Oryctolagus cuniculus: one gene and its partner. The protein of the gene in region 2 interacts with the protein of the main gene of each other region in a pairwise test. Links are inferred from orthologs where the notes say so. Each region holds a gene or a part of one and is shown on either strand. Other genes may lie near its edges.

Region 1 (14,616 bases), on a different chromosome or scaffold from region 2:
AAACCTTTAAGGGAAAAAAAGGGAGCGGGGCTGGTGCTGTGGTGTAGCAGGTGAAGCTACTTCTTACAGTGCAAGCATCTCATTTGGGCACCGGTTCAAGTCCCAGCTGCTCCACTTCCGATCCAGCTCTCTGCTGTGGCCTGGGAAAGCAGTAGAAGATGGCTCAAGTCCTTGGGCCCCTGGACCCACGTGGGAGACCCGGAAGAAGCTCCTGGCCTGTCTTTGGATCGGCACAGCTCCAGCCGTTACACCCATCTAGGGAATAAACCAGGAAGACCTTTCTCTCTCTCTCTCTCTCTCTCTCTGCCTCTCTGTAACTCTGCCTTTCAAATAAACAAATAAGTCTTTTAAAAAAGGAAAAAAAAAGAAGTGGGGCAGGAGTCCAGTCAGCGCTCCAGTATGGGATGTGATGTCACTGCCCACCAAGCTGTAGCCCTGGCCCCAAGTGCTTCATTTTAATGGGGAGGTGGATTGTGTGGCTCCTAGAAGGGCTACCGTGGTGTTAACAAGACTGGGCTCCCGAGCTCTTGGGGGTGTTGAAACCTGGTTATCACTTAGTGATTCTGGGGGAGCAGTTGAGTTTCTGGCCCCCACCTGGGAGACCTGTGTTGGGTTCCCAGCTCCTCCCTGTAGCCCAGGCCTTTACAGGTACTTGGGGGATCCCTCCCCCTCTCAGAAAAAGAAACAAGGTGGTGAGCGGTAGGCCCTGGTGAGAGGTCCTTGGCTCCTGGTCGCTGCCCTTGGAAGGTGGTTCTTGCAAGAGGGTTGTTGGGAAAGCCTCAGTCAGGCCCAGCCCTTCTGCTCCTTGCCCGATCCACCGCTGCAGTGCAGTGGCCTGACCAGAGGCCAGACCAGTGGACCTGCCTGAGCTTGAACTGGACCCCCAAGACTGAGCCATGATAAACTCCTTCCTTGATAAGTAGCTTTTCTCAGAAGAAAAACAGACTGAAGTGTTAGAACAGACATTTACTGTTGTTGTGATTGAGAGAATCAACATTAAACCAGTGGGGTATGGGCAGGCATGAAGTTGCTGCGTGGAGCACTGGCACCTCACGTCGGGGTTTCCGGGGCTGAGTCCTGGCTGTGCCCCCAGTGCCAGCTTCCTGCTAGTGCAGAGCTGGGGGCAGCCGGTGGAGGCTGCAGTGGCTGAGTCCCTGCCGCTCCTGGGGAGACCTGTGTTGAGTTTCTTCCTCTTGGGTTTTGCCTGGCCCAGTCCTGCTGTTGGAGTTGTTTGGGGGAGTGAACCATCAGATTTCTCACTCTCTGTGTTGTTTCTCTGCCTTTTAAAACACAAATTAGCAAGAACCCAACCTGATAGACTGAAGTTATGGAGTACAAATAAGTGAGATTTGTGCATTTCAAAGTGTTTCAAAAGTTCATGGAAATTAAGTAATGTTGGTGCAAATTTGAAATCCATGCATCATTTTTTTATAATGCTCATTTTGCATGAACTTTTTGAAGGCCTCCTGTACAATTCAGCAACCAGCGGAAGTTACTGCAAAAGTATTAGGTGAAATGTTATTTTAGATACAGACTTTTATGACTAGATACATACAGGCTTACACAAATAGATACATTTAAAGTACCAGGAGTAGGTGAAAAAGAGACATTGCAAAGGTTAGAGGAAGATGCATTCAAGCAGTGTGGCCCTTCGTGGTTGGGTGGTGATCGGTGTGGTGTCCAGGTGGGAGTGAGATGTGGAACCCTTGTGTGGAAAGCGGTCTGTAGGTCTGCGGGCCCTCCAGTCACTCAAGCAAGGGGGCTTTTATGCTGTGAGAACTTCACAGTGGGCAGCAGCACGCTGCGCAGTGAGGGGGAGGGGCTCCGCAGCTCCGTGCCGGCCGAAGCCGTCAGGTGGCTGCTTGGAAGGGGTTTTCCCCCAGAACTTCACTGTTGGCTGGCGTAAAAGCACGGGTGTGGCAGCCTGGGGAACGGGAGGCACTGCCCACTGTAGAACACTTGATTTTACTTGACTGTCCTGTAAAAGCTTGTTTACAGTTACAGTACTGGGTGGTACAAAGCAGTGGTTTTTTCCATTTCTCTGTTTTCAGAAATGGAGAAAAATTGTGGACACCTACCTTCATTTCAGTTCTATGTAAAACATACCTAGGAGTTGTAGTGAAATGTTTGGGAGGACTGGCCCTGTCAGCTGTGTTCAGCCCATGTAGGAGGCAGGCGCCAGGGTCTAGCGAACCGCCCGGCAGGCTGCAGCCTGGAGCTCCAGAGCAGAGGTTGAGGTGCTGCTGGCCGGCAGGCCTGCCCGCGCCGGGTGTGCACGCTTCGGGGTGGTTCCTTTCTTGCTGGGGAGTGTCCACTTCCTGCCCTGGTGTTGAGGTTGATTTGTTCCTGAGAGGAGGAACGTGGCGGGGGCAAGAGGCGCAGAATCACCACACAGACGCCGGGAGGCGGGTGAAAGTGGGCCAGAGGTGAGCAGCCCGCAGGCTCGTTTATTTCCGTTGCTACAGCAGCTTATATAGGCAAGGCAGCCAACCCAGTCAAGGGGTGGTCTGTGCCCCAACCAATCACAGCCTGTTGCCAGGCAGGCTCCGTTGCCAGGTGGGTTTCAAAGCCATTCGTGAGTAACTGACGCTGGCTTGCCAGTGGCCATCTTGGCATGGCCTTCTCATTCCACCACATTTCCCCCTTTTTGTTTATTTTTGAGCAACAGGAGGCATGACTCTTGGCCATACCATTGTTGACCCCGTTTCCATGTGGTCTCCATACGCAGCTGTGCCTGTCTTAGGTTGTCTCCCAGGGGATCTTACCCATTGTTGACTAACCAGCACTCAAATCCAGAGACCACAAGAGTGCTTGCTCAGATGGGGGTAGGAATGAGGAACAATGTTTATCTGGAATGGCATGAGCACACACAGGCTGTGGGCCATTTGAGTGGTTGGCCAGAGCTAGTGGGGTATAAAACAGTAACAGATGTGGCTATGGGCAGTTCCTCAGGGTAGGATGATAGGGCAGGTGCGTCCGCTAACAAGGCAGATTCTTAGTCTTGTTCAGCTGGTTCTGGTTGGCTGTCAGTTGCAGGCTTGATGTTTCTGGGTGGTACCCAAATGGGCTGTCCCGCATCCTCTGGAAAGACAAGCATATCCTCGGCCCTTGGTTACCAGAAGCCTTTCTAAGGGCATTGGAATCCAGGGCCTGAATTCTGTGTCCACTCCTACATTTACGGCAAACATGCAGGTGGGATGGGGTCTAGCGGCTGCCCTGAGAGCCTCGGGTGCCTGAGTACTGCCACAAATGTGGGAACCCTCACTGGGTGCGGATGGGATGACCTCGCATGGGTTATTGTCTCTAGGTCCTCTAAGTCATCCCACGGGTATTTGGGGGGTGGCTGACTTGGCGTTGCTACATTGTTTGTTACCTTGTTTGCTACATTGTCATTTTCACTGTCCTGGCTCTCCCTAAGTCATCAACTGTTTCCTGTAAGACAGGGACCTGGAGTGACAGGCTCTTATCACTCACAGATTCACTGTGTTTGGTAATCTGCGTGCGCTTCTGAGAGGGGGGTATCTTTCCCATGTTTGAGCACTTAAGAGCAGTGCGCCACACCAACTCTAGCCAAAGGAAAGACACGCACAGCACTGCTGCCATAACAAAGCAAATTCCTAGCACCTCAGCGGCTGACGGCATTGTGCAGGGGTTCCCTACGTTAGATGACCAGACAGTGCTGTGTGTCAGATCGTAAGTATGTCCTGTGCTTAGTGGGGGACTTCCTTGATTCGTTAGGTCAAGGCCATAGGCCCACACGGTGTCTCCGGAGCATCACCTGTCTAAAGTGAGGGAAGATGACTTGGTTCCGAATTCTGGGATGATCAGTCCCTTATGTGAATTCACCAGGTGAACCGAAAGTAAGAGGAGCTGAGAAGCGGCGTACGCTTCTGGGCAGTGTGTGCTTAACCTGGGGTCACTTAGACCGAGGACAAGGACAAGGAAAGGGGTGTAGGAGGGGTTCTGTGCTCACCCTCACAGAACCGAACAGCACACAAAACACCGAGGGGCCCACTTGCCGAAATCAAGGGGGGACCTCGCCGAGTCCGACACGCTGTCTCTCTCAGTCATGTTGGCGCACCAGATGTTGCAGTTGATTTCTTCTGAGAGGAGGAGTGTGGTGGGGGCAAGAGGCGCGGAGTCACCACACAGACCCTGGGAGTTGGGTGAAAGGGGCCAGAGGCTGGCAGCCTGCAGACTCGTTTATTTCAGTTGCTACAGCAGCTTATATAGCCAAGGCAGCCAATCCGGTCAAGGGGCAGTTTATGCTCTAACCAATCACAGCTTGTTGCCAGGCAGGCTCCGTTTGCCATGTGGTTTCCAAAGTCATCCAATCACAGCCTGTTGCCAGGCAGGCTCCATTGCCATGTGGGTTTCAGAGCCATTCTGACACTTGCTTGCCTGCGGCCATCTTGGCATGGCCTTCTCATTCTACCACCCGGGCATGGCCCCTGAGTGGGCATGGACTGAACTGGCTCGTAGGGCAGGATGATGGTCCTCTCCAAAATCATTCTCAGTGACAATGTGTTTCTTGAGTTTGAACACATTCAATGTTAAAAAGCTCTTCATGTAACACATACTTACCTAGCAGCACACGTGTGTACGAGACATGTCTGTGGACATGGCAGACATTCCTACCTCTGGGAGGCCCAAAGCCATGCTCAGTCTACACGGGAAGCGAGAGAGGAGTGGGTGCTGTGCTGTCGCTCGGTGGTGGCGGATCTTCCTCTGGGTGGTCTACAAGGTTCTTACTGAAAAGGGAGAGCCTGCTTCTAAAGGTTGTATAAAATGAGGATTTGCGTCTTGAAAATTACATGGGATCATCGAGTTAGGTATTTGGATGTCATCATTTACAAAATAGATACTAAACCACTCTGAAGAAGATGGGCTCCTTGTGTCATTTCCCGCTTTAAGCCGGGAGGTTGGCGATGCTGAGAAGCAACTGACTGAAGGACCACGTTGACTCTGGGGGCCTCTGAGCTTTCAGTGGGGTGTTGGAGAACACATGGAGTCCAGATATTCCCAGGAGTAGAGAGGAGTGTGTAATGAGCCCTCTGTTCCTGTCCTCGGCTGCAGTGGTTATTAATACGTTGCCATTCTCATGTTGTCTAGCCCTGATTATGCTGCAGCATTTAAAGCAAATCCCAGTTACCACATTATCCCATCTGTAAGTTAGAGTTGGATGTTAGAGTGACTTTGGAAAGAAATGTGGGTGGGTGCCTGTCTCCCATGGCTGCCAGAAAACGTCACAGGCCGGGTCTGCTCACAGTGTGGAGACCTGACATCCAGAGTCAGGGGCAGGGGTGTGCTCCCAGGACCTGGGAGAGAGCCTCCTCCACGGGGTGGAACCCACCCTGTCCTCCTTGGCCCCACAGCTTGTGCGCAGCACTTGGTGATGGGGGCCCACCTGCTGTTCCTGGAGAAGTCACACGCTCGGCATTGAGGTTGGACCTTATATGTAGCAGTGTGGACACAGCCCTGCTCAACACACGGAAGTGGTGTAAGCTTTCCGGAGGGTGTTGGCAGTATTTGTTTGAGCCTTACAGATGTCATATTCCATGGTCCAGAGGTTCTCTTGGGAATTCATCCTTAGGAAATGATGGAGTGTGTAAACAGTATAAGGGTACAGTTCACAGGTAGCATTAGTGTTAATGGAACATTTGATTGAGTCATGAAAAATCAGAAACAAAGTAACAGGATAGTAACAACATGGCCACTGGTGAAATAAGATGTAGAAGCTTGTGTTTCTGGAAGATGGGTAATTTGTTAAGGGAATGATCACAATGAAAGCAGGATACGTAATCTTGTAGTCTGACAACTGTATGATCACATTTCATAGAAACAGTACACATAGAATCTTTAAATTTTCTAGTTGATTTAAAAAAAAAGATTTATTTATTTGAAAGAGAGAGATCTTCCATCCACTGGTCCACTCCCCAGTTTTCCACAACGGCCAGGGGCTGGACCAAGCCAAAGCCAGGAGCTTCTTCCAGGTCTCCCACGTGGGTGCAGGGTCCCAAGCACTTGGGCCATCTGCTGCTGCTTTCCCAGCCATTAGCAGGGAGCTGGATCAGGAGTGGAGCAGCCAGGACTCGAACTGATGCCCATTTGGGATGCCGGTGTTGCTGGTGGTGGCTTTACCAGCTACACCACAGCACTGTCCCATAGAATTTTTTTTAACATGCCCTGAAAGTGGGGGGAAATGTGGCAAAAGAATTAGAGAAAAGAGGTAGAAGAGAAATGTAACAGAGGAATTAGACCAGTTACCTGCGGGTATTGAGGCTGGAGGTGATTTTACTTTCTTTATATTTTTCTGTTTTCTCTAAATATATTCTCTGATGAACTTGCAGTTAAAGAAAAAAATCACGGAAAATGTGTACAGTATCACCTGGGGTCCTGTTGGTACTGGCAGATGTTCAGTCCGGGACGGCTGGAAGGTCGTGGACGGCTGAGGTCTGCACACGTGTGGTTTAAAGCAGTGGCTCAGCATGCAAGCCCAGTTGTGGCAGCTCAGTGGGCTTTCGGGATCTCCCGTGAGTGCCACACTGTGAAGGCACTGTGAGAGACGCCAGAGTGAATCGTCAGAAGCCAGCTCCTCACGGTGTTGTGTGGTTTCCTTGTGTGCTAGCTTACTGGGCAGGAAGTGCTGGAGAATTCATTTGAAAATTGTCCAGTTATGACACAGAGTCTTGTTTTTTTAATGTGCTTTAACATAATGAGAGCCAAATGGATCTGTAATTTTAGTTTTTCTTAATTTCTTTTTCTCGTAGGTTAAAAATTTTGCGGTTATTTATCTTGTGGACATCACAGAAGTGCCCGACTTCAACAAGATGTACGAGCTGTACGACCCGTGCACGGTCATGTTTTTCTTCAGGTATGTCTGACCTCACGCACGGGTGGTCTGAGCTTGGCCGTGATCAGCAGTCCTGCAGGAGCAAGCCAGTTATGTGGTCACGTGGCCAGGGGATCCCTGTGAGTCTTCAGTAATTGTCAAAGTACAGTTCCAGTTTCCGTGTTTACTCAGTAACAAGTTCCCCTCTTGAAGTAAAGTGGCCAGGAAGGCCAGCAGGGTGCCATTGAAATAGAGAAGTTACTCTCACTGCCGGCGTCACTCACCAGTTACCACGTCAGCACCTTTGTTTAGTGTCCTTATCAGTTGGCTTTGCTTAAAGCATGTTTTCTCCGCTCTGAGTTCTGTTGAGTTATTTGGAAACAGCTTGGCCAGCAGCAGTGAGAGCACCGGCCACACTCTGGGATGGGCGCCTCCCAAGGGGAGCAGAGCCGGGGTGTGTGCTCTGTGCCCGCAGGCCTGCTGGTGAGGCTTTGGGCAGGGTCAGCTGCAGGACTCGGTCGCACGAGGCAGAACCGCGGCTGGGCTGCTCTCCGCTGTGGCTCATCCGGCTCCTTGTGCTCGTGGGTCTGCGGTCGCTGTGCCCTGCTTGGCTGGGAAGGCGCTGGCCGGTCGAGTCACTCTCACAGTCTCAGTTGGACCTGAAGCCCTGCTCTGGGCACTGGAGTGGCTCAGGTGGTCCAGCGCAGTCTGTGTGTCACATCAGCTAAGACTGGGAGCCCGCCTGGCCTCTCCAGTGCTCACAGGCGTGGGGTCTCAGTGTGCGCCCACCAGGAGTGTGCTGCCTGCAGGCGCCTCTGCCGCAGCCTCACGTCCCTCGGGCCGGCTGAGGCTCTGCAGACACCACTGCACCTGTGCGGCCCTGAGAGACCGAGAGGGAAGGGAGTCCACTGCCCCACATCCTGGATGGGCCCAGGAAACAGAACTGGGAGGGAGGCGCCGATCCACGGCCCGGCAGACTGGTGCCTGTACCCAAGTTTCCCTGCCTCATGAGCCGTGTCTGCCTCTGGGTCCTTTGTTCCTGGTTCCTGCGGTAGCCCTCTCGGCCGTCCCCAGTGTTAGAGTCGGGATGCCCCACGAGCAGGGAGGGGTTCCTGGCTCACCCCTTTCGCTTGTGACTGGGGTCTGCCACCCTTGGTCTTGCCTGGTTTCAGCGTATTTGCCATCTGCAGAGTCTGAGGGTTTATTTTCCTTTTTAAAATATTTATGTATTTGTTGGAAAGGCAGATGATAAAAGAGGAGAGATCTTTCATCCACTGGTTTATTCTCCAAGCCAGGCTGAAGCCAGGAGCCAGGAACTCCATCTGGGTCTCCCATGCAGGTGCAGAGGCCCAGGCGCTTGGCCATCCTCTGTGCAGCACAGCCCAGATCCAGAGGGGAGTGAGCTCAGTGTGCCCCCCTGCATGTGTGAGGGATGACTGACGTGGAGCAGGCAAGAGGGGGTGGGAGACAGGTGTCCAAATCCCAGCGAGCGTGGGAAGGCTGTCCTGGACGTGACCGTGTGAAGCGGAGCGGGGCATCAGATGTGCCCATGGCTCACCCTGTCGAAAGGAGGCCACACGGGAGCCGTCCCCTGAGGCCAGACCTGTGATCCTATAGGAGTCACTGAACGTCTCGCCTTGGCAAACCCGGGAAGACTCAAATAAAACAAAGGGCCTATGAGAGCACAAACTCAGGGAGGAGGTCTGGCTCCTGGGAGGTGCAGTGTGTGAAGATCTTTCACTTCCTTGATCACAGAAATGCAAAATGTCATTTTAATTTCACAGGTCTGGGTCTTTGGGTAGAGTTTATGCTAAGCGTCTCTCAGAGCACTGTGGAACCTTCCGGTGCTTCTCCAGGTGGACCAGTGTGGCCCTCGTGTGTCCTGACCTTTAGTTGCCCTGGAGGGTATTTGATAGCCCAGGAAAAACAGCACCGAGCGAGCTGTGTTGTGCAGCAGAGTCTGTGTCCTGGAAGGGTGTGAGCAAGCGGTAGGAGCAGGGGAGAGTGGGCGGGTCTCCGTGCAGGTTCTCAGATCCTGATGGGAGTCACTAGGAGCAGGGGAGTGGGCGGGTCTCCGTGCAGGTTCTCAGATCCTGATGGGAGTCACTAGGAGCAGGGGGAGTGGGCGGGTCTCCGTGCAGGTTCTCAGATCCTGATGGGAGTCACTAGGAGCAGGGGGAGTGGGCGGGTCTCCGTGCAGGTTCTGAGATCCTGATGGGAGTCGCTAGGAGCAGGGGGAGTGGGCGGGTCTCCGTGCAGGTTCTCAGATCCTGATGGGAGTCACTAGGAGCAGGGGAGTGGGCGGGTCTCCGTGCAGGTTCAGAGATCCTGATGGGAGTCGCTAGGAGCAGGGGGAGTGGGCGGGTCTCCGTGCAGGTTCTGAGATGCTGATGGGAGTCACTAGGAGCAGGGGGAGTGGGCGGGTCTCCATGCAGGTTTTCTGAGATCCTGATGGGAGTCACTAGGAGCAGGGGAGTGGGCGGGTCTCCATGCAGGTTCTGGGATCCTGATGGGAGTCACTAGGAGCAGGGGAGTGGGCGGGTCTCCGTGCAGGTTCTGGGATCCTGATGGGAGTCACTAGGAGCGGGGGAGTGGGCGGGTCTCCGTGCAGGTTCTCAGATCCTGATGGGAGTCACTAGGAGCGGGGGAGTGGGCGGGTCTCCATGCAGGTTCTGGGATCCTGATGGGAGTCACTAGGAGCAGGGGAGTGGGCGGGTCTCCGTGCAGGTTCTGGGATCCTGATGGGAGTCACTAGGAGCAGGGGAGTGGGCGGGTCTCCGTGCAGGTTCTGGGATCCTGATGGGAGTCACTAGGAGCAGGGGAGTGGGCGGGTCTCCGTGCAGGTTCTGAGATCCTGATGGGAGTCACTAGGAGCAGGGGAGTGGGCGGGTCTCCGTGCAGGTTCTGGGATGCTGATGGGAGTCACTAGGAGCAGGGGAGTGGGCGGGTCTCCGTGCAGGTTTTCTGAGATCCTGATGGGAGTCACTAGGAGCGGGGGAGTGGGCGGGTCTCCGTGCAGGTCTGGGATCCTGATGGGATCGATGCCTTCCTCCCCAGGAACAAGCACATCATGATTGACTTGGGCACCGGCAACAACAACAAGATCAACTGGGCCATGGAGGACAAGCAGGAGATGGTAGACATCACCGAGACCGTGTACCGCGGTGCCCGCAAGGGCCGCGGCCTGGTTGTGTCTCCCAAGGACTACTCCACCAAGTACCGGTACTGAGCCTCGGCGAAGCCATGGGGCCGTCCCCGCGCGGGGATGGTGCAGAGCGCCTCAGGCCTTGGGAAACAGCCGCGCCCGAGGCCTGGAGCTCTTTGCAGCGCCCAGCCGGCCGTCCTGCTCCGCGTGCTTAGCCGTCTGCGGAAGGCGCTGTTGTGTCCAGCTGTGGAGGCAGGAAGCCCACGGGGCAGCCTGGGCTCTGTCTGAGGCCGTGGCACAGGGTCTTCTGCCTGGCTCCTGGTGCCTCCTCCTGCGCGCCTCCGTAAGGACACAGCCACGATGGACGGCGGCCCACCTGCCCCAGCTGCCCCAGCACGAGCTCCCGCCACTGACTGCGTCTGGGCTGACCTGTTGCTGGGTGGGGCTGCAGTGTGCGGTCCTGAGGCTCGTCCAGAATGCTGCTCTCCCCACAGGGGCTGGCAGCGCTGTCGTCACGGCCTCAGGCACACTGTGTCCTGTCCGCATGGTGAAGTCCCTTTCAGGGCAGGCCTTCGGCCCAGCGGGCTAAGGCAGCACCCGCAGCACTCGAGCCCTGGCTACGCTGCATCTGGTCAGCTTCCTGCTAGTGCCCTTGGGAAGGCAGTGGATGGCTCAGGTGTTGGGGCCCCTGCCACCATGTGGAGGCTCAGACGGAGTCCCTGGTTCCTGGCGTCAATCTGGCGCTGCCCCAGCTGGTGTGGGCATTTGAGGAGTGAACCAGCGGACAGGAGATCCCCATTTCTATCCCTCCCTCCCTCTCTGCCTTTCACATAAATAAATAAATAAATCTTAAAAAAAAATGGAAAAGGTGTCTTTCCTGCAGCCTGTTTCTCTTCCACGGTGTGCGTTCACGCTGTGACATGAGAGGGCGTGCGCACCCTGGTGCCCTGCGGCCTCTGTCTGGCTTCAGACCCAGGCTCTTCTAACTGGGCAGTTGCCTTGGCTGCTCTCCGTACACACGTGTTAACACAGGAAGCAGTGCCTGTTGGTAAGTAGTACCTTGTAAACGTGTTCACACCTGTGAGGCTGTGCTTGTGGGTACATATGTAGTGCTGTTGTTAGGGTGAGGTGGTTAAAACAAGGAATGCTTAATGGGAAATTTTGTACATACAAATGTGCAAGCCTGTGGTTTACTCTCATCCATTTTTCTGTACAATGAGGAGTATAGGCCCTTGCATGGTGTCACAGCCACCAGAGTGAGGGGTGCTGGGAACATGGAGGAATCGGGGCCTTGCTGCCCTGCTGGGGGTGCTGTAGGATGGTCAGACAGGGCCTCAGACCTGGTGCTGCCTCTGGACCCTAGGTGGGAGCCCAGAGAACTGAGCACCTGAGTCCACACAGCTGTGCTGAAGAGACTGTCCACCGGCGGTTTAACCGTGCTGTTGGATGTTACCAATTGGACGAACCCTGAGACCACCCCGCTGTGGGAAGATGCAGAGCCTGTGAGTTCAGGGTTGCCCAAGCTGGAAGAGATGGGTGGGTGTCTGAGGTGGGTGGTGGGTGCATGGCTGTGTGGGGACCGCTGAACTGTCCATGGGAGGTTCCCAGGGGGTGTGGGTCACATGTTAGTGTGGCTTCCATGTCTAAGTTTCTTGTAGACATGTCACTGGGTGAGCACCATGGATGGGCATTGTAAGTAACAGGGTTCTTCCCAGTTCTGGGGTCTGGAAGTGCCAGGCCGAGGTTCCAGCTAGTGAGGTGTCTGGTGAGGGTGTGGGCGCCTCTGCACAGCCCCACAGGAGCGAGGGACTCTCCGGGCCCATTGTCCTATGAGCTCAGGGCCCCAACCCACAACCACATTGAGCCTTAGTCACCTCTGCAGAGCCCCTCCCCCCCAAAAGTAGGTTGGGCTGTGCATGGATGCTCCGCCCAGGGCTCAGACGTGAGCCACATCTTCACATGCTACCTTGCCTTTTGCTTGAAAGCAAGCAAATTGCAAGTCAATTCCACAAATCCTTCAACGCCTACCAGGTAGATGCTTAGCAGAGACAGAGACTAAAGCTTAGATTGCCCCAAGTTTAAGTAGCAGCAGAGGATGTGCACTTGAACGCTGACCTGATGGCTGCCCTCGCCTCGTCTGCTCCCCGTTGCTTCGGGGCTCTGGGAAGGAGCTGGCGGGGCTGTAAGCCTGGGTTCCAGACGGTAGGAACTCGGGTCCTGGAGACAGGCATGCACACACAAGGAGGTGGGCACGAGCGTGTGTTGCAGCATTGTTTGGAAACAAGTAGTCAAATAGAAAATAGATTAATTCAAACGACTGCTGCTCGGTGGTGAGTGAGTGAGAGCCACAGCTGTGGACAGGTGAACTAGGGGAACAGATGTGAAACCACGTGTCCACAGGGGGCTGCGTTTTTCTGACTGCACCAGTGGAGCCCTTCGCTACCATCCACACACACCTTAAGGAGCCATACCCAGGGCCAAGATGCACTCTCTGGGTTTCTTATCAAAATGTAGGTGCAAATTTGGAAAGAAAAATAGAATGAGTACATGAGGACTTGCCTCTTGAGGGCCAGTGCTGTGGCATGGTGGGCTAAGCCTCTGCCTTCAGTGCTGGCATTCCATATGGGTGGCAGTTTGTGTCTCGGCTGCTCCTCTTCCGATCCAGCTCTCTGCTGTGGCCTGGGAAAGCAGCAGAAGATGGCCCAAGTCCTTGCCCCCTGCACCCACGAGGGAGACCCGGAAGAAGCTCCTGGCTCCTGGCTTCAGATTGGTGCAGCTCCGGCCGTTGCGGCCATTTGGGGAGTGAACCAGCAGATGGAAGGCCTCCCTCTCTCTGTAACTTTACCTCTCTAATAAATAAGTAAATAAATTCTTTATTTAAAAAAAAAAAAAAAACTTTTACATGACTTTTATTAACAGCTTTGAGAATGCTTCTCCCCCTGGCATTCTTTTTTCTAAGTTTTTATGGTGTATCAGTCCCCACAAGAAGATCACGTGATCACTGTAGATCCACTGCAGAATCTACTCTGCTGTTCCCCAATCTTCAGCTCACTTTTTTTTTTTTTTCCCCAAAGATTTATTTGAAAAAAATCACAGAAAAAGAGATCTTCCATCTGCTGGGTCACTCCCCCGATGGCCTGGCCAGGGCAAGGCTGAAGCCAGGAACTCCAGCTGGGTCTCCCACGTAGGTCACGGGCCCGCTGCTTTTCCACGCATGGAGCTGGATCAGAAGTGCATCAGGACACAAACCAGCACTCACAGGGGACACTGGTGCTGGGGCTTGACCCACTATGCCACAGTGCTGGCTCCTCCAGCTCACTTTTTAAAGAAATATGAAAGGCAGACTGACAGATCTTCCACCTGCTGGTTCACTCTCCAAATGGCTGCAACTGCTGCGGCTCCATCCAGGTCTCCCACCTGAGTGGCAGAGGCCCAAGAACTTGGGCCATCAGCTGCTGCCTTTCCAGGTGCGTTAGCAAGGAGCTGGATTGCAAGTGGAGCAGCCGGGACTGGATCCCGGCACTGCAGGTGGCGGCTCACCTGCTGTGCCACAGCACGGCCCCTCCAGTTCACTCTGCCAGCACCTGTGGCCTTGACAGCCTCCTGGGCCTCCCTCCTGTTCTTGCTCCTTGCTGTTTCCTTGGAGTCTTCCCACATAGGCCATGCAAGTCTGTGTTGGATTCATTTGTCTTTGCATAACCCTTGGAGTCGTAAATCATGCCAAAGCCACTTGTCTTGCCACAACCGAGATAAGTTCTGAATCCAGATACAGAGGTGATATCGGTGTGGGCTTGTGCATTGGCTCCGTTTCCACAGTTTCTGTCTTGCGCACTGTTGCTGTCCCAGGGTGGAGGACATGGGTGGCTGTTTCCTTGGAAGTCATTAGCTGGCCATGAACTTCCTGTGTCACTCATGATGGCGGTCATGACCCTGGACTTCTTTTGTGGCACTTTTATGATTATCATCAAAAGTGAAGAACATGAACAGTTTCCTGATGCGGCTCCCCTTGGACAGTCAGCAGGAGTACTGTGAAGGCTTCCGACTGTCTTCCACAGCCACTGTGTTGGCTCCTGTCTTCTCTTTGGCCACAGCTTCAACGTCTCCCACAAGCAAGAGGCATGTGAACGAGAGCAGAGCGTTTTTGAAACCCTGAAAATCATTCACAGATTCCCAACAGCAGATAGAATGCCATGAGACCAGAGAACTCGTCTGACCCGCCCACAACACAGGGAGCTGGTCCCAAGGAATGATTCAGACGTGGGCGGAGCTGCAGGGGGCGGGCGCTGAGGAAGGATTTTATTCTGAAAGGTCTTCTGGGCCAGGCGCAGAAGGGGGTTTGGAGGGACTGAAAGATCAGGGGGAGCTCAGAGTCTGGGAGTGTGTCCGTGTTAACTGTGGCCGCGCTTGCACACGGAGTGTGTCCGTGTTGATCCGTGGCCACGCTTGCACACGGAGTGTGTCTGTGTTTATCCGTGGCTGTGCTTGCACACGGAGTGTGTCCGTGTTTGCATGTTGAGTGGTGTGCAGTGCTCTGACACAGGAAGTCAGGTGTGTGTTTAGTTAAACTGGAGAACTGGCAACCTCTGGGAGCTGTGCTCACCTTACTACTAGGATTTGTGTTTCCGTAGTTTCATGGCCT
Region 2 (15,461 bases):
GAGCGGACACAAAGAGAGCACCGGTGGCTTTGATCTTGGGCAAGCAGGCTGTGCATCCGCGCCGCCGGGCGGCCTCTCAGTCCCGGGGCCCGGCCAGCGCCCCGGCCGCCCGCGCCGGGCTCGCGCGGAACGCCGGGGCTCTCCAGATGGAACGCCGAGGCGCCTCCCCGCAGCCCGGAAGGAGCGCCGCGCCGCCGCGCGCGCCCGGGCCGGAGCAAAGCGGAGCCCCCCGGCCGCAGCGCCCCCCGGCCGCAGCGCCGAGCCCTTCTTCCCCCGCCCCGGGCCGGCGCCCCGGGGCCGCGCGAGCTACGGCGGCGACGCGGAGCCGGCGGGGCCGCGGGGCTGAGCCTGACACACACCCAGCGGCCGGGCTCCTCGACCCCGAGCGCTCGCCCTCGGCGGCCTCGAGCCCCCCACCTTCTGCTCCCCGGCCCCCCCACCCCGGGAAGGGAGGAGGAGGGTAGGTGGGCGAGAAAGAGGAAGGGGCGGGCGGTACGAGCCCTCTGCCCGCTCCCCGCCGGCCGCTCCAGGCCCAGCGCTCGCCTCCCTTCCCCTCTGGCCTCGGGAGCTGCCCCGCCCCCGGCCTGGCCGGCTCCGGTCAGCGGCACCCCCTCGACCCCCGGCTGGCTGTGGTCGCGGGGGGCCTAGAGGTGCATGGCCCAACCCCGGCTCCCGGCGCCGGGGGGTCAGGAAACTGAGCGGAAAGTGGGGAACGAGGCAGCCATTTGCAACCGGAGAGGAAAGTAGTGCAGCGCGGCGCCGCTCCGCCTCCCCCCCACCCCCTCCGCCTCCTGCTCGGCCGGTAGGGTGGTTCCTCCGAAGGGGCTTATTTCCTGGCCCGAGACCTGGGCGGCGGTCGTGGAGATTCGCGAAGCCTCCGGTGCGAAATCCGGGAGGGCCTCTTGCCCGGAGAACCCCACTCAAGACGGGGGGGAGAAAGGAGGAGAGGCGGCCCTATTTTGTGTTGGAGCGGGGCGGCGGAGGGACTCGGCCCTCGCGGAGGAAGGGCTGTGACTTTGCAGTTCTACGCACACGCCGCGGATCCTTCCGCCGCGGGTTAACCCCGGCGGTGCCGGGCGGCGGCGGCGGCGGCGGTGGCGGCGGCGGCGCGGACACGTGGGAACCGAGCCCCCTCCTCCGCGCCGGGGCCGGGACCTGCCGCCTGTGCCTCCCGGTCTGTGAGCCCCGGGACCCCGGGCCGCCTTCTGATGCCGTCCCTTTGGCAGTCGTTGGCCCTTGCAACTCTTTTTGAACTGTCCCCCTTGCCTTGGCCAGGGGCAGTATTTCCCGGGAGGAGGGGGATGGAAGGAGAGAGCCAGGAGATTGGCCGCTGCTCGGAATCCTGGGAACTGGAGTCCGCAAATGGAGAAAGTGAGGCACGGCGCTTGGCGTGGGTTCTTGCCACGTTCCGGAGGGGCCCCGAGGAAAACCGGACGATGCTGGCTCTTTTCCTTCCGGCTCCCAGAGCCCCTCGTGGGGAAAGGGCTGTGAATGCCCGCACAGCCCGCGGGCACACACACATAGACCCACCAGAGCATACATGGAGAGCTCCCCTAACCTTTGCACGGTGCCCCCACCCCCATCTCCAGTCCCTTTTCAATAAACGAAGGTCGGCTCGCTGCTGATACCTGGCCAGCGCGCTGTCGCTCTAGACAAGGTCCCAAAACACACTCCTTGCAGGCAGGCACCCTGCCCTCCCCCCACCCCCCCCCACCCCCAGCCTCCTTAACTTTAGGTGAGAGGATTGGGAAGACTGAACTTTACACGTGGGGCAGCTAGGAGACAAATTACCTATGTGTTAGATACTTTCTATACTCTTTAGATGTTCTCTTAAGAGTTACATGGCTTGAGCTGCCTATCACTGATGAAGAGATGGGCCGTGATTCAAACCAAGGGCCGTGTTTTTCCTAGGAAGATGGTGGAGAAGGAAGCAGGCAGTGTGGGTCCAGAGCTGGTTTTGTGAGAAAGGGTTTGCTGCACTCTGACGCTGTCTGATGTAGTACCCATTTGCCACCATCGAGCACCTTGAAGATGGGTAACTTTTCATTTTAACCAAGTTAAGCATAACTAGCCATATGTAGTTTGTGGTTTCCTCCTGGACGGGAAACCTTACTCCCTACCGGCCAGGTTTAGAGGAAGGATAGGGACCCGGCATGCCCCCTGTTACACACCAGTACCGTGTTCTCTGCTGAGCACCTAGGTCAGCAACCAACTCCAGCAGTGACTCTGCCCCTGTCTCAGCTGCGGTAGATTAAATTGACCAAGAGACAGATGTTGGAAAATGGAAGGTACCCCCTCCCTACTCTCATGTGCCTAGAGGCAAGGAGAACCAGGTCACCGTCGGAAAGGCCTTCAGGAGTTGTCGGCCACTGTTTCTGATGTTTTATATATAAAGAATTGTGCTTGGCATTACATATCACAATATGTAAGTGTTTGTCACTTCAGATTTATGAAGCAGATTTATGAAGCATCCTTCATAAATGAGAAACAGACTCAGAGAGGTTAAGCGAATGCCCAAGTTCACACATCTAGGTGGAGATGCCATCAACCAGCTATGAGCCATTTTTCTTTACTGTCTTCATGCCTGGAGATGGCTTATTAGAAAACTTCAGATGTTTGTAAATTTACGCTAGAGTTCGAAGCGGCAGTGGGTGGGTGGGTCCCTGTAACAAGTACACCAGGCCAGAGATGCAAATGGACATGATTTTAATGTGAGAAGTTGGTGACAACCCTGGAGAACCTTATAGGCAACTGAGACGATTCTTTATGTTTCTTCGAACATCTCCTTTCTTTTCATATTCTGAATCAGAAGCCAAAGCAGCTGGCAGGACCTTTGAAAACCAACATGACAAACCACCAGCTCCAACCAGAAGCCAGAGCTGGGTCTCAGCAAAAAAGAAAAAAAAAAAAATCCCACATAGCTTCTGTCCTGTCTCCCCAAGTAAGTGCCCGGACAGAGCAATGGGGGTAGGAACGCTTCTCACAGTTGGCAAGAGAGGTCCGTGTCTTCCCTGTAAAAATGCACCATTTAGAGAACCCTTAGAAGTCCTTGGAAGAGGAAGGGTCGGGTAAACTAGAGGCAAACAGGACCAAACCTTCCTGGCTGAACTTCTCATCCTGCTCCTGAGGTGGTAGAGGTAAGAAAAGGCAGAAGCAGTAACCTGTTACCAAAAGATGGGGCAACTCCAATGGTGTAAAAGCTACCAAAAGATTACCAAACGTATGAGAGGAGCAAAGTCCATTTTAATGGAAGGCAGTGGGAAAGGGGGCAGCAGGGAGATACACACCAGGGATATACACCAGGGACATTATTTCTTCCTTTACTCAACTCTTGGGAATCCAGATCTTCACAACACTTTTAATGCCTGCCTCTAGTCTCCTCCACTGCCACAAACTCAGGCATGGGGGACTTCGTTCCTCCCAAACCCTTCCCTCTGGTCCTAGCAAATGCCAAGGCCCCACCAGGATGGCTGGGTCAGCAAGTGGCATCTGGCCACTAGGGGGTGGTGTTTCTGTAGGGAAGGGGATCTCCAGTGCCTACAAACTGGTGGGAGTGGCGGCCGAGGGGACAGAGAACCCAGCAGAATGGAAAGGTAGGGAAGGTAAGTAGTTAAGTTTCAGGGTAACTGTGCTTAAAAGAAAGGAAGCAATGGGGGTAGGAACGCTTCCCCCTACCTCCCCATAGGTCACAGCCATCACTGCTTGGAAGAGGAGCCATTGGCTCGGCACTCTCCCCAGATTCAGAGAAGTCAACAACAAAAGAGTTCTTAGTTTATTTGCATATGTACATTGTCATCCCAGGGAGCCAGCTCTGCTTCCTGTGCCTCCAGCTTAGCTCACCCAACCAACACAGGATGGAATGGACCTGGATAAACAGGGACCAGGACTCCCACATCCCAGCCCTGCTGGTTAGAACAGAATTCATACAGCAAAAAACAGGGGCCAGAGGCCAGTGCCCACCCACATCTTTGCCCCACTGTAAACAGTGACGCCCAGGCTGCTGGAGCCCAGGGAAAGTGTATACACATGAAGGGTGCCACACTGCGCGGTGGCAACAGTACCCGTGAAGTCTTTGAGGGCCTGCTGGCCCTGCCCTGGACCACTGGAGCCTGGCAAATGCCAGGGGCAGACCTGAAGCCATCATCCTGTGCTTCAGGGCTCACATGAGGAGGCAGCGCCGCTCCGGCCCGTAGGAATTCTCCACCCGGGCGATCTCCTGGATGATTCTGGTGAAGATGCTTTGAGCCAGCTATAAGGGATATAGATGCAAGGCAAAAAAACTGAGTGAGTCCAAAATCAAGACCACCTAGTTCAGAGGCAAACACCCCACCCTCCCACCCCCAGCAATGCTCTAAGAAGAGCACCACCCAACACCTTTCTAATCATCAGGACCAGCACCTGATTCTCTCTAGCAGATGACTCCATAAATGTCGCACCCCAGGACTCTGCCAGCCTCTTCCCTTCAACTGCCTGCACCTCTCTGCGAACAAGTGTGGAAAGTCAGCATGGAGGGAAGATGGCAATGACCCCCAAGTGCTCTCTAGCCCTCCTCCTCTAACCTGTCCCATGTACCCACGGTTTGGGATGAGGGTTGAGGAAGGAAGAACATGCAGGTAAACAAAGTAAGCATGGGTGAACCATGGACTTAGGTTTGAAATAGGGACCTGCTTTTGCGTTTCAAGGGCTATATCCTGTTAACCTTTAAGTTAGCAAAGCAAAGAGGTGAAACGATTTCTTTGGGTCTGTGGCTACAGCTCTGCTGAGCTCCATTCCAGCTCACTGCTGTCCACCCTGGGTAGCAAGGACTCACACCTGTCTGGAGAGAGATCCGCCTTGTTCCCCACTAGTACCACTGGCAACCTGTAAGGAAACAGCAATTACTGCAAGGTTCTCTTCCTGATCGATGTGGACCCCAGCCTCCCTGAAGTCAAGGTAGACAGCTCCCCACCAGGCTGCCACAGGATCTGTGTCCCAGCCTCCTCTCTAACTTACACAGTTCTTCCTTCTGCTCCTTGCCCACCCTCAGGGCCACTTACCGGGTTTTCCCATGGCCTTCATGTAGCTTTTGGTAGAGACTTTCAACGACTTGGAAGCTTTAAATACAAGAAATGGAGCTATAACCTCAGTTCTGGGACAACTGTAAGATCCACCCAAGTTCCACAACCTTGGTCACTCACCTATGCAGGGAGGTGATAGAATAGACGAGCACATAACCATGGACGCCAATGATGAATGAATAGGGCAGAATGCTGTACTCATCCTACCGAGAAAGAAACATCAGCACCTTAGATCCACACCTCTCAGATGGCAAAGGTTGGTGGGACAGCATCCACTTAACCCTCCCTGGGGCATTCCCTACTCTAGTCACCTCTACTCAACAAGTATGTTTGGAGCAGCTGCACTGAGCCTAGCACATTGTTAGTGGCTTACATGTTTTTCTTTTGATGCTACTTTACACATGCACCAGAGGTTAGCAGACTCACCTAGGGCTGAGCTGCTACATATGGAAACCCTACCCCAACTGGTACCTGCCCTGCTGTATCCACCAGGTGTAGGTGAAACTCATCTTTGCCAAGAGTCACTATCTTGCTGTAAGCTGAAAAGAAAAGAAAACTTGACTGTGAGACATCTTGCAGGGCTAGAGATGTATGCCCCCATGCATCCTTAACCCTGAAGGTGAAAGTGACACAGACGGACCAGCTCCAGGGAGCTCTCCAGGAAACGGGAAACACATGCAAGGTTTTTATTGTCTATATCCCTACTTTCGTGTACGAGGTTATCTTGCAAAATCCACATGCTAGCCAATCATAAAACAAGACTGCTAGAAGCAATGTCTGAACAAATCCACTCCTTGACACCAGAGAAATCCCAAATTATAACGCTGGATGGAACAGCTAAGCCCAACTAGTTCCAACCCAGCCACATCAGGGTAGAAATTGACTCACTGTTCTCCACTGTGGGGTCGTAACCTTCCAAGAACTCGCCTTCCACAAATTGATGTGCCAAGGATGTCTTCCCTGTGGGGAGCAAAGATAGCTGTATCCACATCATCCAGCCACAGTCACACCCTCTTGTTCTTTCAAAGGAGCGGGGGCCGGTCTGAGTGTCTCAAGCAGCGATTCTTCTCATCGCCCACACCAGTCTGGGCACTACAGGCTGCATTCAAGAGCACCACAGGCGGCCTTTCCGCCCCCCCACCCCCACCCCCCAGAAGATCCAGGTTCCCCAAGGATCAAGTCTTCCCCGCCCCAGGGCACCTGCGACTATTTGCCCCAAGCAGACCGCGCCCTCCCGCCTCCCGCCCCGCCACCGTCTTCAATCGACCCCAACCCTTATTCCCAGAGTATCGCCGGAGACCCTGCTGCTCTCCCTGCAGCCAAGCCCACATTAACCCTTGCGTGCTCCGGCTGCCTGCAGCCCCGCACACACCGCCAGCCTTTCTTCCTCCACCCTTTCAGTCCTTGTCTCTGCTCTCCCGGTGCGGCAGCGCGCCTCCGCCGGCCACCACGCGGGGTGCGGCCGTGCTCCCGCAGGGCGGAGACTCACCTACGGAGCGGTATCCGAGGATGACCACCTTTCTGTAGCGGAGCAGCGGCATGGCAGAAGCCCGCCCCGAGAGGGCTTCGGGTAGCACGGGCGGAGCCCGAGGAACCCGAGACCAGGGCGTTTGCAGGTGCGGCAACCGGTGCAAGAAAGCAGCTAACCTCGAGGCTTGCAGGGCAAGCTGGAGGAAACCAAAACAAGCGCCGCGCCCGGAGCCGGCCACGTGATCACAACACAGCACGACTAGCGCGAGGGAGCCGGGCGCCGGGGGAACTACAGTGCCTGGCCGCGCCGGCTCCGCCCCCAAGGCCGCTTGTCATTGGTCTGTTAGAATGGATGAGGGCGGGGTCTCCAGCAGGAGGGAAGGGTGGGCCTCACGTGGAACGGGAGAACGGCGAGATGCGCATGCGCGCACTGGAGCCGGTTCATTCATAAAGAAACAGAAAGGAACCCGGGGTCCTAGAGGTGTTTGCGCGTTTGCTGCCAGGCTGAAGTGGCTGCGAAGAAAATGCCAGTTGTGGTGCAACTGCAGTTTCTGGTCAAGCGATTCTAGGCCTACTTTTGCATAGGAGGGAAGAAGCCAGAGTTTCGATGTCTTCCATCCACCACCCTGAGGCGTGTGGCGTTTGTTACCTGGTCTCCAGTCTTCCAGGATCTAACTTCGGAACTGCATTTCTTGAGAAAATTACTATAACTTGTGACCAGTTGGTCTGAGGCTTCGTCATCGTCGTCATCATAATTCATTTATTCAGCAAATATGTTTTGAGCATACACGACATTGCTCCAACTTGAGGGTTAAAGCAAGGGAAATGACAGGTAGAGTCTCTGTTTTCAAGAAATTTAAAATCTGGGCGGTCCGGGGCCGGCATTGCGGCGTGAGGGTTAAGCCGCCGCCTGCAACGCTGGCATCCCGTGTGGGTCCCGGCTGCTCCACTTCCATTCCAGCTCCCTGCTGATGGTCTGGAAAAGTAGCCGAAGATGGCCCAAGTTTTTGGGCCTCTACCGCCCACAGGGGAGACCCGCAGGAAGCTGCTGGCTCCTTACTTTGGCCTGGCCCAGCTCCGGCCGTTGTGGCCATCTGGAAAGCGAACCAATGGATGGGAGATCTCGCTCTCTCGTTTCTCCCTCTGTAAATCTTTCAGATATATAAATAAATCTTAAAAAAATATACTGGGGGAGAAATAAACATAAGGAAAAGTGGGTATGAAAAAGGAGTGATCACTTTAGATCAGTGATAGTCTCAGAGGAAGCCCCATTTAAACAAATCTGAATAACAATGAGGAGCCGACTAGCCAGAGATTCTCAAGCAGGAATCAAGAATGCTAAAAAGTGCTAAAATGAAAATTAATTCTGTTAATTCCAGGAACCAGCGGGACAGCCAGTTAGCCTAAACCAGATGAACTCTTTTTTTTTTTTTTTTTTTTTTTTTTTTTTTTTTAAGATTTACTTATTTAGAGTACTCCCTAAAGGGCCAGAGCTGCGCTGATCCGAAGCCAGGAGCCAGGAGCTTCTTCTGGGTCTCCCACCCGATTGCAAGGGCACAAGGACTTGAGCCATCTTCTGCTTTGCCAGGCCACAGCAGAGAGCTGGAGCAGAAGAGGAACAGCCAGATCTCGAACCAGCACTTCAGGCAGCAGCTTTACCGGCTATGCCACAGCGCCAGTCCCCAGATAAACTCTTTCTTTCTTTCTCTCTCTTTCTTTCTTTCTTTCTTTCTTTCTTTCTTTCTTTCTTTCTTTCTTTCTTTCTTTCTTTTGACAGGCAGAGTGGACAGTGAGAGAGAGACAGAGAGAAAGGTCTTCCTTTTGCCGTTGGTTTACCTTCCAATGGCCGCCGTGGCTGGCGCTCTGCGACCGGCGCACTGCGCTGATCAGAAGGCAGGAGCCAGGTGCTTCTCCTGGTCTCCCATGGGGTGCAGGGCCCAAGCACTTGGGCCATCCTCCACTGCACTTCCCGGCCACAGCAGAGAGCCAGCCTGGAAGAGGGGCAACCGGGACAGAATCTGGTGCCTGGACTGGGACTAGAACCCTGTGTGCCGGCGCTGCAAGGCGGAGGATTAGCCTATTGAGCCGCGACGTTGGCACCCAGATTAACTCTGAAGAGGAAGACAGAGGCCCCGCCACTAAGAAGTCTGAGCTGAGGCCAACATTTTGGTGCAGCGGGTTAAGCCGCCTTCCACAGCAATGGCACCCAGTCCCCGCTGCTCTACTGTGAATCCAACTCCCTGCCATTGAGCCTGGGAAAGCAGCGGAAGATGCCTCTAGTCCTTGGCTCCCTGCCTTTCGGAGGCCTGGATGGCATTCTAGGATCTGGGCTCCAGCTTTACCCAGTCCCAGCTGTTGAAGCCATTTGGGGAATGAACCAGTGGATGGAAGATCCCTCTTGCTCTCTCTGTCTCTCTCCCCATAATCCTGCCTTTCAAATAAAGAAATCTTTTTAAAATTTTAAATGAAAAAGGTCTGAGCTAATTTGAAGCACCAGAAGATATTTAAACTGAGTCGTGAGATGATTTGGAATTGTTTTTGTATAAGATCTCTCGGAATGTGGAGAAAGGATTAGGAGTGGGGGGCCAGGAGATCAGCTAATAGATTGGTAGGTGGAGTGGTGAAGTCCAGGTGAGCTACAAAGGTGGTTTGACTACAGTGGTGGTGATGAATGAACAGAAAAGCCAGGGTTTTTCACAAAAGATGCATTCATTTATTTATTTGAAAGGCAGAGTGACACAGAGAGAAGAGACAGATCTTCCATCTGCTGGGTCACTCTCCAAATGCCCGCAACAGCCAGGGGTAAACCAGGAACTCTATGTGGGTCTCCTACATGGGTGGCAGGAACTCAAGTGCTTAGGCCATCATCTGCTTCACAGGTACATTAGCAGGAGGCTGAATAGGAAGAATAGAGTGGCTGGGACTAGAACCAGGCACTCCAGTATGGGCTGCAAGCATCCGAGTGGCAGCTTAACCCACTGTGCCACAACGCCTGCCCCCATGTTATGTTTTTAAGCTGTGGTCAAGCTGACTTGCTGAAGGATTGTGTAGGAGGAAGTGAGGGAGAGGAAAAGAGGAAGGAAAACACCTAAATTTATAGAGTTCTACTATAAGCCAGGTAATTGAGTTACCTCTTTTAATATTCACTACAGGAGTGGATGTTATGGTACAATGGGTTAAGTCACTTCATGAGACACTGGTGCTATATATATATAAAATCAGAATGCCAGTTCAAGGATTGGCTTCTCTGCTTTCAATCTAGCTTCCTGCTAATGGGCTTGGGAAGGCAGCAGATGATACAAGTTCTGAGTTCTTACCAACCATGTGGGAGATCCAGGTGCAGTTTCTGGCTCCTGGCTTTGGTCTGGCCCCACCCTTGGCTATTTGTGAAGCATTTAGAATAAACCAATGGATGGAAGATTTCTCTCTCTCTCTCTCAAAAATAAATCAACAAAACCTTAATATTCACAACAGCAGCTCTAAGGTTGATAATTGGTTTTATTCATACATCTGCCAACAAATATTTATTAAACTATTCCCAAGTCCCAGGTACCTTCTTGGTGCTGGGATACAGTAGTGAACAATGTAAAATTTTTGCTGGGAAGATACAAGTATCCTTTCAGGAAAGACCAACAATCTACATAGTAAACAATAAATAACTTGTGTTAGAAAAAAAAAAAAAAAACTGAGACATTGGCATCACAGATGGGTGCAGGTTTGAGTCCTGGCTGCTCCACTTTCCATCCAGATGCTCCCTTCTGCCGCCTTTTTTTTTTTTTTTTTTAAAGATTGATTTATTTATTTGAAAGTGTTACAGAAAGAGAGGCAGAGACAACAAGAGAAAGGGAGCTCCTCCATCTGGTGGTTCACCCCCCCTCCCCAGATGGCTGCAATGGCCAGTGCTGGGCCAGGCAGAAGCCAGGAGCCAGGAGCCAGGTCTCCCATGTGGGTGTAGGGCCCCAAGCATTTGGGCCACCTTCCTCTGCTTCCCCAGATGCATTAACAGAGAGCTGGATTGGAAGTGGAGCAGCTGGGACTGGAAATGGTACTCAGATATGGGATGCCCATGTCACATCACAGGGAGTGGCTTAACCCCCTGCACCACGACACTGGCCTCACTGCTCCACTTATGATCCAGCTTTCTCCTAATGTCCCTGAGAAGGCAACAGACGATGACCCAGGGATTGGATTGGATCCCTGCCATCCACATTGGAGACCCAGATGGAGTTTTTGGTTCCTGGCTTCAGCCTGGCCAGTCCTAGCTATTACAGCCATTTGAGGAATGAATCAGCAGATGGAAGATCTCTCTCTCTCTCTCTCTCTCTCTCATTAAGCCTTTTAAATAAATAAATTTGTTTTTTTATTTTTGACAGGCAGAGTGGACAGTGAGAGAGAGACAGAGAGAAAGGTCTTCCTTTTTGCTGTTGGTTCACCCTCCAATGGCCGCCGCGGTCGGTGCGCTGCGACCTGCGCACCGCGCTGATCCAATGGCAGGAGCCAGGTGCTTCTCCTGGTCTCCCATGGGGTGCAGGGCCCAAGCACTTGGGCCATCCTCCACTGCACTCCCTGGCCACAGCAGAGAGCTGGCCTGGAAGAGGGGCAACCGGGACAGAATCCGGCGCCCTGACCGGGACTAGAACCCGGTGTGCCGGCGCCACTAGGCGGAGGATTAGCCTAGTGAGCCGCGGCACCGGCCAATAAATAAATATTTTTAAAAAGACGATTTAAAAAAAAAACTTTTTTAAAGATTTATTTATTTATTTAAAAGGCAGAGTTACAGAAGGGCAGAGGCAGAGAGACAGAGATATTGGTTCACTCCCCAAACAGCCACAATGGCTAGAGCTGTGCTGATCAGAAACCAAAAGCCAGAGCTTCTTCGGGGCCTTCCACGCAGGTGCAAGGACCCAAGGACTTGGGCCATCTTCCAATGCTTTTCCAGGCCATAGCAGAGAGCTGGATCAGAAGTGGAGCAGGTAGGACTCCAACCGGCACCCATATGGGATGCCAGCACTGCAGACAGTGGCTTTACCTGCTATGCCACAGTGCCAGTCCCTAAATAAGTAAATCTTTAAAGGATGTATGATTTCTCAGTATTCTGTGAGTTTGATTGGGGTTCTTCCATTTCCTCTGCTGGCCACACTCAGTTGGCTACAGTCACCTGGAAGCTCTACCAGGAACAGAAGAGCTAAAAGTTCCTCAGAGTGGGTTCTTGGCCTAACAATTAAAATGACCATTTTTTTAAGATTTATTTTTTTATTTGACAGGCAGAGTTACAGAGAGTCAGAGGCAGAGAGAGAGAAAGAGAGAGAGATTCCATCTCCTGGTTCACTCCCCAAATGGCTGCAATGGTCAGGAGGGCTGGGCCGGGCTGAAGCCAGAAGTTTCATGAGGGTCTCCCACATGGGTGCAAGGACCCAAGGACTTGGGCCATCTTCTGCTCTTTTCCCAGGTGCATTAGCAGGGAGCTGGATCAGAACTGGAGCAGCCAGGACTTGAACTGGTGCTCATATGGGATGCCGGCACTGCAGGCGGTAGCTTAAGCCACTACCCGACAGGCTCCTGGCTGTTACAGGCATTTGGGAAGTGAACCAGCAGATAAAATATTTCTGTCTCTCTGCTTTTTCAAAACAAATGAAAATAAAGAAATAAAATTTACAAAAAAAAAAAAAATGAGCTAACAAGGTACTTTCTGGTGCTGTCACCCTCTTTTCTAATCTGAAGCCTTTTTCTCTGAAGACCCAAACTTCAGAGTTGTGCTTCCTGTTAACTTGATGCCTTCCATTTGCTTCTTCAGGTCCTCTCTCCCCTTTTCCATCCTGTATCTGTTCCTGGAAGGCATCCCTAGTGAACTGCACTAACGCCATTGGCTTCTAGTTAGGTTTTGCTAGTAGAAGCACTGAGATGGAAGATAGAGGGTCCAAATGTTTATTCCCCACTCCCTCTCTGATAAGCCAGCCAGGTTTTGTTTGCTTGCTTTTAAAGATTTATTTATTTATTTATTTGAAAGTCAGAGTTACACAGAGAGAGGAGAGGCAGAGAAAGAGAGCGAGGTCTTCCATCTGCTGGTTCACTCCCCAGTTGGGAGCAACAGCCAGAGCTGAGCCGATCCGGAGCCAGGAGCCAGGAGCCAGGAGCCAGGAGCCAGGAGCCAGGAGCCAAGAACTTCTTCCAGACTTCCCACTTGGGTGCAGGGGCCCAAAGACTTGGGCCATCTTCTACTACTTTCCCAGGCCATAGTAGAGAGCTGGATCGGAAGTGGTGCAGCCGGGTCTCAAACTGGCACCTATATGGGATGCCGGTGCTTCAGGCCAGGGCATTAACCCACTGTGCCACAGTAATGGCCCCTGTTTGTTTGTGTAACAGACACAGAGATGATAAAAATAGCAATGATGAGATAATGAAACAGAGATAGATATACAGAGATAGTGAGATAGAGATAGAAATGTAGAAAGATAGAAGATAGATAGATGATATAGAGAAAGAAAACAGATAGACAGAGAAAGCTCCCATCCCCTGGCTCACTCCCCAGATGTTCACAATAGGACCCAATCCAGGTCTCCCACATGGGTAAATGGAACCCAACTACTTGGATCATCACTGCTGCCTCCAGGGTCCACATTAGTAGGAAACTGAAGTCAGGTACTACAATGTGGGATATGGGCAATCTTAACCAAATAGGCCAAATGCCCTTTATTCATTTTTTTCATTCTTTTCTCTCTTTTTTTTTTTTTTAATTTTTTATATCAACTTGAAAGCACCCATGTGGGAACCTTGGAAGAAGCTCCTGGCTTCAGATCAGCACAGCTATGGCCACTGAGACATTTGGGAAGTGGACTAACAGATGTTTCTCCCTCTTTCTCTGTAACTCTGATTCTCAGATAAATAAAGTAATTTAAAAAAATTTGTTTTCTGAGGCCAGAGTTATCACTTAGTGGGTTATGCAGCTGCCTACAATGCCAGCATTTTACATGGGTGCTGGTTTGAGTCCTAGCTTCTCCACTTCTGATTCAGCTTCCTGCTAATGAGCCTAGGAAAGCAGTGGAAGATGGTCCAAGTGCTTGGGCCCCTGCACACATGTGGGAACCCAGAAGAAGTCCTGGCTCCTGGCTTCTGCCATCTGGGGAGTAAACCAACAAATAGAAGAGCACTCACCTCGTGCGCCTGGGCTCTGCCTCTCCCTCTCTCTCTGTCATTCTGCCTTTAAAATAAACAAAATAGAAGATGTGTTAATTTATTTATAAGCTATGGCTTCACAGATTTTTTTTTTAAGATTTGTTTATTTATGTGATAGCCAGAGTTACAAAGAGGGAGAGACAGAAAGATCTTCCATCTGCTGGTTCATTCCCCAGATGGTAACAACAACCAGAGCTGAGCCAGGCTGAAGCCAGAAGCTTAACCACAAGGGTGCTGGCAGGGGCCCAAGCACTTGGAACATCTCCCGCTGCTTTTCCCAGACCATTTGCAGGGAGCTGGATAAAAAGTGGAGCAGCCAGGACATGAACTGTTGCCCATATAGGATGCCAGCATTGCATACAGTGGCTTTATCCACCACACCAGAGCACTGGCCTCAAATATTCTTACTTTTCCCCCTCAAGATTTATTTATTTGAAAGGCAGAGCTACAGAGAGACAGAGACATAGAGAGAGAGACAGAAACAAAGTATGAAATCTTCCATCTACTGGTTCACTCCCCAAATGGCTGCAAGCACTGGAGCTGGGCTGATCCGAAGCCAGGAGCCAGGAGCTTCTTCCGGGTCTCCCATGTGGATGCAGGGGCCCAAGCCCCTGGGCCATCTTCCACTGCTTTCGCAGGCACATTAGCAGGGAGTTGGATTAGGAAGTGGAGCATCTATATGATATGCTGGCACTGCTGGTGGCAGCTATATGCCACAGCACTGCCCCCCAACACACACCCCCACATAACTTACTTAGAAGTAGCTAAAGTTGGTAGTAAGAAAATCCAAAGATGGTGTGGCACAGTAGGTTAAGCCACTGTCTGTGATGCAGTGTTCCATATGAGCTCTGGCTTAAGTCCTGGCTGCTCAACGTGTGATCCAGCTCCCTGCTAATGCACCTGAGAAAGCAGAGGAAGATGGCCAAGATACTTGGGGCCCTGGCCTGGGCTATGGTGGCCTTTGGGGAGTGAACCAGTGTATAGGGGCTCTCTCTCTTTCTCTCTAACCTTCCCTTTTAAATAAAAATAAGTAAGTATTTTTTTAAAAGATTTATTTTACCCAGTCAGGGCGCCAGATTCTGTCCCGGTTGCTCCTCTTCCAGTCCAGCTCTCTGCTGTGGCCCAGGAGGGCAGTGGAGGATGGCCCAAGTGCTTGGGCCCTGCACCCGCATAGGAGACCAGGAGGAAGCACCTGGCTCCTGGCTTGGGATTGGCAATGCGCGCCAGCCGTAGCAGCCATTTGGGAAGTGAACCAACGGAAGGAAGACCTCTGTCTCTCTCTCTCTCTCTCTCTCTCTCTCTCTCTCACTGTCTAAATCTTCCTGTCAAAAAAAAAAAAAAGATTTATTTTATTTATTTGAAAAACAGAGTTACAGAGAGGTAGAGCCAGAGAGAGAGAGAGAGATAGAGAAAGAGAGAGAGGTCTTCCATCCAATGGTTCACTCCCCAAATGGCCACAACGCCTGGAGCTGAGCCTATCCAAAACCAGGAGCTTCTTTCAGGTCTGCCACATGGGTGCAGGGGCTCAAGGACTTGGGCCATCTTCTACTGCTTTCCCAGGCCATAGCAGAGAGCTGGATCAGAAATGGAGTAGCCGGGTCTCAAACTGGCACCCATATAGGATGCCGGTGCTGCAGGCCAAGGCTTTAATCTGCTGCACTATATTGCCAACCCTAATAAGTAAATCTTAAAAAAGAAAGAAAGAGAGAGAGGGAGGGAGGGAGGGAGGCCCAATAGAATAGAGAAAATGTTGAATAGTTA

The links.
Region 1: the proteins of RHEBL1 (region 2) and TXNL4A interact in a two-hybrid assay, tested with the Homo sapiens proteins (2 studies listed by BioGRID and IntAct). The link is inferred for Oryctolagus cuniculus from reciprocal best matches to the Homo sapiens genes RHEBL1 and TXNL4A.

The regions. Positions count from the first base shown.
Region 1 is NC_091441.1:290,002-304,617, forward strand, and holds the end of TXNL4A (thioredoxin-like protein 4A), read left to right. Parts: intron 1-6,770; coding exon 6,771-6,874; intron 6,875-9,886; exon of another isoform or gene 9,887-9,889; coding exon 9,890-10,061; 3' UTR 10,062-10,837; downstream 10,838-14,616. UniProt on the Homo sapiens protein: Plays a role in pre-mRNA splicing as component of the U5 snRNP and U4/U6-U5 tri-snRNP complexes that are involved in spliceosome assembly, and as component of the precatalytic spliceosome (spliceosome B complex).
Region 2 is NC_091442.1:52,523,346-52,538,806, forward strand, and holds RHEBL1 (GTPase RhebL1), read right to left. Parts: upstream 6,848-15,461; 5' UTR 6,599-6,847; coding exon 6,547-6,598; intron 6,018-6,546; coding exon 5,946-6,017; intron 5,597-5,945; coding exon 5,529-5,596; intron 5,261-5,528; coding exon 5,178-5,260; intron 5,094-5,177; coding exon 5,037-5,093; intron 4,861-5,036; coding exon 4,813-4,860; intron 4,481-4,812; coding exon 4,399-4,480; intron 4,250-4,398; coding exon 4,160-4,249; coding exon of another isoform or gene 4,153-4,159; 3' UTR 3,759-4,152; downstream 1-3,758.